Saccharomyces cerevisiae S288C: one gene and its partner. Changing the gene in region 1 together with any one later gene gives a genetic interaction. Each region holds a gene or a part of one and is shown on either strand. Other genes may lie near its edges.

Region 1 (4,285 bases):
CCAGTGACTTTTTCAATCTGGTCTTGTAGTTCTTTTGTGTGTTCGTGCCTATCCAATTCTACAACGTAGTAAGATGGAGAAAACGTGTACGAATTAGTCAACAAAGCTTTCAGTTTTTTGCTATATGGGCAGCCAGTCTTGCTAAATACAATCATGGGTGACTGTTCCATTATTTTGTTGTATTCTGCAGCGGCATCAAATTCAGCGTCCCCACTATTTTTATCAACTTCTTCGGCTTCCTTATCTTGTGTATTTACTGTATCATGGACAGATTGGTGAGTGCCAGGTGCATTTCCTGAATTGTCAAACGTCACCAATGAATCAGGATGGTGAGTAGTAATACTTTCGTTGACGCTAGCATTCGAATTCCTTAACACAAAAAACACAACAATGAGCAGTAAATTAGTTATTACCAAGACTCTCACGTTTCTTTTGTTTATAACAATAGCCATCTCTAATTTTCTTCAGTTGTTTTGCGTTTAATTTGAAAATTTTGCTTCTTTCCAATATATAGGTTTTTTCTTTTATTTGATTCGAGCTTTTTCACTGAGGGGATATGTACACATTGGCAAATATCCTGCCGAAAGTACTTCTTTATTTTTTTTCAAAACGCAGTCCCACTTACCGGTATGACGTAGTCTCGATTCTCAAATACACCCGGGACTGCATATTTATACATCTGTAGTAAAGTCATTTTATATGGATTGTGAAGGAAAAAATTTACATAACTGGAAGATAAATAAACATAACTATGTAAGGAATAGTAATAAGAATGTAGAAAACGCCAATGGAAGTTGTCCAAACTATAGTCCGACCCGTTGCATATTATTTACCGGCAATCGCCTTATCATGAGTAGATTCTAAAAATGCTAATCTATCGGTGATGTAACCACACACTCTTTTCCATTCCGTTTTATCCTGCCCTAAAAGGTCATCGAGATATTTGAAAGGATTCTTATTAACACAAACATATTCGTTTAAAACCTTGAAATTCTCTAGTTCAATATCGTAATTTTTTACCTTTTTTAAGGCCGTATATGAACGAGCAGGTTTACCATTCGTAGTCAAAAAATTGCTTTTAGATAAATCGTATGGGTCAAACTTTGGGAAGTTTGAATGGATGAACATAACATCTACATGATTCTTGGCATTTAAGTCCTCGTTGTCGAAAAATTCTTCGGTGTATTTTTCGAGGGAATAGTTTTTGTCAAACTTGATTGCATCAGCTGATTTAGTGCCACCGTATTTGTTGCCAATGCTCTCCATAGCATTTAAGTAACGGCCATAATCCTGCACAAAGTCGTGTTGTAACATTGCTACACCATGAAACCCGTCTTCATCATGGTAGCCTTCAACGCCTGTCCTTGTTCTAACTTGGTAAAATGATAGACCATAAAAGTTTGCAGCGGCAATGAAAGTTTCCTTATCACCTTCACCAGCAGCTTTTTGAGAAAATATTGGGTAGTACCACGTTGGTCCATTGACGTTGTAGAATAAAGATAGAAGAGCCGTAGCCAAATGCTTCGTTTTGTTTATCATCAGTTGGCCGGATTCCGTAGACACGTCGGGTATTGTTCCGTCTAGGTCACTTAGCGGGACGTCACTCAAATCCTTCAAATCCTTTGTGTAAACAGCAGGTGGGGTGATATCGTCTCGAGAATTGCGAACTCTCTTTTTCTTGTCCACAGCAATACCTGCAATGTCGTAATACAATGGGTGAGTTGTACGCCTCCAGAAATCGGGCCACATGACCAAGCCCGTAGACACATATGGTTCTTCATTGAATATGTTGTCTAGGGGTTTGATGGGGAAGTTGTCAGCATCCAGTAAGAGCAGGTTTTCAAAACTAGAAGCGATAAGGGCCAATGATTTAAACTGGTATCCTTTGAAAACAAATTTTTCAATCGTCTCTCGTGGTAGAATATCTGAAACGTAAATACACTTGGAGTTATACTTAGGCAGAATCTTGTTACAAAACTCAGTTTCACCTTCATCACCAGGAGGGATCAGGACTTCCACAGGTAACGTGGTCCCCATATTCCTTAAAGTCTTAATGATCAAAAATGCCATAAGGGAGAACTTCCCGCCACCCACTGTGGCTATACCGGACCCTTTGTACGTACCCTTTGGCGAGACGAGAGTCGCTATATGCTCTACGTAGTCCTTATGGCTTTTGGTCAGACTTGCTACTTCATCCGGAGATAGTTCCAAACACTTGGACAGCTCCTTAGCAGACAACTTGTAAAGATCTTTGTAGTGGTCGGGACGGTCTCCAATGTCACCCTTTAATAAGCATGCCTCGTTATACTGCTTTGCAGTACTCCCCTTGGGCGAATCAACCATTAGAAAGTTGAAAACGTTGTTGTAGAAGCTTTTCAACTTTTCATTGCCTGCCTCATCATTGTCCCTCAATGGGGTTGAATCGTCAGCGCTGGCGGCGTCTGAGGAAGATGAATACTTATTGGAGTAACTCTGGACATATCTGTCTAAGTACTCCTTGTACTCCTTGACCGACGTGTTCTCATCCATGTATTTGTTTGTAATGACGAACAGCCCGCACAATATCAAAACTATGAACGTCAGCTTGAACAGCTTTGAAAACCTTTTGGTAAGCAGCATACTGAAAATATAATTTTACTGACCTACCTACACTGATTTGTCTCGAAGTAGATATGATACCTTGAGCAGCACGAGGATATTAAAAAGTAGGGCAATTCTGCTTTTAACGTATAAGCAACACCAAGTACACGTAATTTATTTTGATGATTCTTCTATATTTTTTTTTTCTTCATTGTTATTTTTTCACTATCTTTTTCATCCCTCCGCAAAAGGACGCGATCCTTTTTTAGCACGTGAACGGTAATAACGGGTCCTGGACGATGTATTAGAGTCACCTAATCACCAAGCGAGCCAATGGCGACTCACTTGACTTGCATGTTTGCATAACCTATTTAGCGAACCCTCCAACTTCTGAGCGCACCAGCTTAACTTGTGCGCTAAGCTGCCTTGCCCGACATAGTGCCATCGCTCATTCCACCTCACACCTGATTAACTAAAAGTTTTAAAACTACGGGACTGCGAAAAAGTAGAGCTACGTTACTGCAGACCTACAATAATTGCACACATCGGCCTGATAACGAATGCTTCTAAAATTCTACTGTGCTACTATCGGCTGGTCGCGCCCGACGGGTTCGCTCAGCCGCTCTGCGCCCTCTTACTCTTCAGCCATTCTGCTGCGGCCGAAGCTATAAAAGTATGTCAATTTGGCTTTTTCCAAAATCCCCCTCTGGCTCTTTCTCTTCTCAAGACAAGCATTGAAGAGACTCACTAGTAAGCTTAAGATAGTCCTACACACAACCACCATGTCTGCTAACGATTACTACGGCGGAACCGCCGGCGAGAAGAGCCAATATTCCCGTCCCTCCAACCCGCCACCTTCATCCGCTCATCAGAACAAAACTCAGGAGCGTGGATACCCACCCCAACAACAGCAGCAGTACTACCAGCAGCAGCAGCAGCATCCCGGATACTATAACCAACAAGGATACAATCAGCAAGGGTACAATCAGCAAGGGTACAATCAGCAGGGCTACAATCAGCAGGGATATAACCAGCAGGGATATAACCAACAAGGCCATCAACAACCAGTCTACGTCCAACAACAACCACCCCAGAGGGGTAACGAAGGTTGTCTGGCTGCATGTCTGGCTGCATTATGTATATGCTGCACCATGGATATGCTATTCTAAGAGAACCCGCAAAAGTATTCAAGAATGAAAAAAAAAAAAAGAATAATCTCCCCTTCTGTTCTTTGCAGTTGCCTTTCTTCCCCTCAGTGTTATTTTTTTTCACAAGGAGATAAAAAAAAAAACTTTAACATGTCACTTTAAGCATGTATGTAATACGTCTATTAATTATATGTAACTTTTATAACTATTTTCATTTCTATGTGATCCATTTGCAGTTATGCACCTTTTTTTTTTTTCCGAATTGTGCTATGTATATATCACTAGTAATAATGTACCAAACTATACAAACACGTAGGATACAGTAAAAAAAATTTTAGCTGGTGAACTGTTGTAAGAAGGAGATTTCATCGGGCGTGAAATTTATTGCAGAAATTTGGGCAGAATGGTTCATCAAAAAGGTGTAGATCTCTTGCGCAAAAACATTCGCCTCTACATTGCTTGAAAGGCCCGTAACAATTTTATGAATGGTATCATTACTCATTGTGACCTCCGTGCTGGTCAAATTGATAATTTTCAGGAAACCCATGTACGCGCTA
Region 2 (3,854 bases), on another chromosome or scaffold:
GGTTTTGTTTCTATAAAAATAATCTAATATTTCGTTGTGACAACCTGGTTTCTTTGTAGAGTGCCGCAAAACAGGTATACCTGTCTTATCTTCCAAAAGTTTTGCTTGCGAATAGTCCTTATCAGAATTGGAACCGGCGGTATTGCTAACAATCAAGAGTGCTTTGTTAGAGTATTTCGACCTTAAGGTTTCCCAGTGTTGCAAGTAATCTGGCCATATTTTGTCATCATGAGGGAAGGCGATGCAGTTGTCCTTATCCAAGACCACGGCCTTTATAGAATCGTGGATTGGTATAGGAAGATCGTTAAAAGTGGGGACAACTAGACTAGGCTTACACAGTGATGGGTTATAAAGCAACCGGAGCGTATTTAAGGTGCCACTGATGTTCATGACTAGGTAGAGGAGACGATGTAATGTAACTGCCGCCTTTCAGTTTGGCCCCATATATATATATATATAAACAGACGGATAATTATATCATATTAAATGCGATAGCATAAATTTCTCGATGCGCATTGGTAAATTGTAGCATGGCGCGAAGTCTCTCATGGATAATTTTGCAAAGAATCGATGTATATAACGAACCATAATCAAGATACTTGCTGGGATGGCTTTTTCTGGATCTCTTGCACTTTTTTGAGCAGTTGTGGTGACGTCTGTTTCACGTTGTCCTTTTTATTAGTAATCTTCTCATCTACAATAGTTTTTTTTGTGAAAAAAAACTGAATAAGAATATACCCAACCAAAATTGTGAAAATCAGCTGTAATAAACCTCTGTTATTCTCAATTAATTGTGAATCAAATATTGAGACATACTCCGAAGGTGGCTCTGAAAATCGTGGAGTATAGTCATTAAACGACAGACGAGGCACATCCAAAACTCTATTATTTTGTTCCACTTCACCCACTCTGGATTTTATGTCAAAGATATCTGGAAATATTTGGATAGGGATGATCGACTCGTGAGCCAGCGTAGTTCCTGGGTTTAACGAGGTGTAAATGACATTTTGTTCTGGCGACGGAATCTGCGCCAGTATAGTCCTCAAATACTTGTCATAATGGCGGAATGCTTCTTTACGTTCATTAGTGTCCTCTGGTAACTTAGGGTACTCTATTATAATCACTCTTTTTTCGCTATCAATAAAGGGCTGGAAATCTTCTGTATTATTACCTCGTAAGTTCAACACCTGGTCTACGTTACAATACTCCTTTACAAACTCTGCAAGATCATAGTATAAATCTTGAGGCAATAGGTCTACCTTTTCGAACTTAATCGCGGTTGAACTCCGTCTTATATATCTCTGTAACGAAACAAACTCTGTTTCAAATTCCAAGAAGTCCAATTTCCTCAGGCCTGGTTGATTAATAAACACATAAGTGTCAGCATTACATACACCTAAGAATTTCTCAGCCGCTTCAATAAAGGTGTCTCTTGGTAAAGTCACAGCCCTATCATAATCCTCTTGATACTTTAAAATACCGGGAGTTCTATCCAAAAGTACAAATATGTGTATAACATCTAGTTAGTAAGAAAAATGAAAGTTACTAAAGATTAATGTTTCTTGTTCTACATACAGTTTGTAAGAGAAGAATATTGCAGGAACATTGGTCTGGTTTTGCAATTCCTCCGAAGCACAAAAGCTTCCACACATAATAAGCAACAAATATTTCAACACAGTTTGCATCTTGCCTTGCTACTCCTAATTAGTATGCGCCTACGTTTCCTAACTACAAAACAGATAGGTATAACCTGCAACTTAACCTCCGCTGCTGATATTCTTGGCCGTAGTTAAGAGAGGTTTACATTACTACAGAGCTAACCCGTGTTGCATGATATCATCGATATAATTAAAGAATGCACATATGTCAGCGGTACTATCGCATACAATGCTCTATCAGAACTCTAGATAACGTTAGAACATATCCTCCCAGGTTTCGCCACATCTGTGGCCTCGTTACTCTATTCGTTTCACTCTTTCTTATCTATTTACAGCCCATCGAGCAACATTATCATGCCACACGTCGATCTCAGGCCGATCTGACAATCTTTAAAGGCATCAACAAGAGCAGCAGCTTGCCGACGTGGCAAAAGTCAAAGAAGAACAGAGGCAACTCGTCCTACGTGAAGCCACATACAACAAGTTAGGAACTATTAGGCGGAACCGCTTTCTAAGGAGCTTACTACTTTTAACAGTACTACTTTTAACAGTACACAGATAAAGAAACAAAAAGTATAAATTTGGGCGCCATCGACTGGCAAGCAAAACACGTATAGAGAACAGGCAGTAATGACGACGAAGCCACAAAATAGTAAGCAGGGTTTAGCCGAAGGAGAGATGGATGTGAGTTCACTTTTCAAGAGAACGGAAGTTATTGGGCGAGGGAAATTTGGTGTGGTTTATAAGGGCTATAACGTGAAGACTGGACGAGTGTATGCTATCAAAGTCTTAAATTTAGATTCTGATTCTGACGAGGTGGAGGATGTGCAGCGAGAAATTCAGTTTTTGGCCTCCTTGAAACAGATTTCCAATATCACGCGGTATTATGGGTCGTATTTGAAAGACACAAGCCTTTGGATCATAATGGAACACTGCGCTGGTGGTTCACTGCGTTCGTTGTTAAGGCCAGGCAAAATCGATGAAAAGTACATTGGGGTTATTATGAGAGAACTGCTTGTAGCATTAAAATGCATTCATAAAGATAACGTCATTCATCGAGATATCAAAGCAGCAAACGTTCTGATCACTAACGAAGGTAATGTTAAACTATGCGATTTTGGTGTCGCTGCACAAGTAAACCAAACTTCTTTACGACGTCAAACTATGGCTGGGACCCCCTACTGGATGGCTCCAGAAGTGATCATGGAAGGCGTTTATTACGACACTAAAGTAGATATATGGTCTTTAGGTATTACAACGTACGAGATTGCCACCGGAAATCCGCCATACTGCGATGTGGAGGCCCTAAGGGCAATGCAACTAATCATCAAATCGAAACCACCGAGGCTTGAGGACAGATCATACAGTACATCTTTGAAAGAATTTATTGCGCTTTGTCTTGATGAGGATCCAAAGGAGAGATTGTCAGCAGACGATCTTTTAAAATCAAAATTTATCAGGGCCCACAAGGCGACGCCAACGTCCATTTTGAAAGAACTAATATCACGATATCTACTATTTAGGGACAAGAATAAAAACAAATATAAAATAGAGGGCAGTATACCGGAAAATGAGCCATCAAAACCCAGTGAAGCTCCAAAACCATCACAAAATGGCGGGGGTGATGAAGCACAAAAGTCAATAGCATCAAATGATAATGAAATTAAGAGAGTGAACGAAGGCGATGTGGAAATGAAATGGGATTTTGATTCATTGAGTTCGTCGGATTATATTATTGAAAATAATATCAACCTCGATGCTTTGGCTGAGGACAACAACGAGTGGGCTACTGCCCAACATGACCTGTTCAACTATGCATACCCTGACGAAGATTCTTATTACTTTGACCCTACAAGTCATAATACTAGACCCTTTGTTTATCAAGGGACAACGATAGGAAAGGGCTATCCTGGTACAATAGCTCAAAATTCTACTTTGAATGCACCAGTAACAAATAACTATACGAACTCAAAATACCCTTCCAAAATGGTAGCTGGAACTACAAACACCTCTGGAACACATACGGCCGGTCCAATGACATCATCTAAGAGGCTGGAAAGTAAGGCTCCAAAACAATTACTTGAACTTTTTGAAGACAATGAAATTATTACTGCTGAAAATGATGTCAATACAGAAGCTCCTAAAATAAGCAAATCCATTTCATCTCTAAATGCTGGTAATAGTTCACGAGATGAT

Evidence for each region. A genetic interaction does not mean that the proteins touch.
Region 2: mutations in MNN2 (region 1) and BIG1 together harm fitness more than expected from each alone (negative genetic interaction), as found in Saccharomyces cerevisiae (3 studies listed by BioGRID).

What each region holds. Positions count from the first base shown.
Region 1 is NC_001134.8:266,885-271,169, forward strand, and holds MNN2 (alpha-1,2-mannosyltransferase MNN2), read right to left. Parts: upstream 2,620-4,285; coding exon 826-2,619; downstream 1-825. Other genes in the region: glutathione-disulfide reductase GRX7, read right to left, coding at 1-452; cysteine-rich palmitoylated domain-containing protein CPP1, read left to right, coding at 3,363-3,749; KAP104 (Kap104p), read right to left, coding at 4,063-4,285. UniProt on the Saccharomyces cerevisiae protein: Alpha-1,2-mannosyltransferase, responsible for addition of the first alpha-1,2-linked mannose to form the branches on the mannan backbone of oligosaccharides.
Region 2 is NC_001140.6:314,284-318,137, forward strand, and holds BIG1 (Big1p), read right to left. Parts: upstream 1,686-3,854; coding exon 1,576-1,685; intron 1,489-1,575; coding exon 591-1,488; downstream 1-590. Other genes in the region: GEP4 (phosphatidylglycerophosphatase), read right to left, coding at 1-390; putative serine/threonine protein kinase KIC1, read left to right, coding at 2,289-3,854. UniProt on the Saccharomyces cerevisiae protein: Required for normal beta-1,6-glucan synthesis.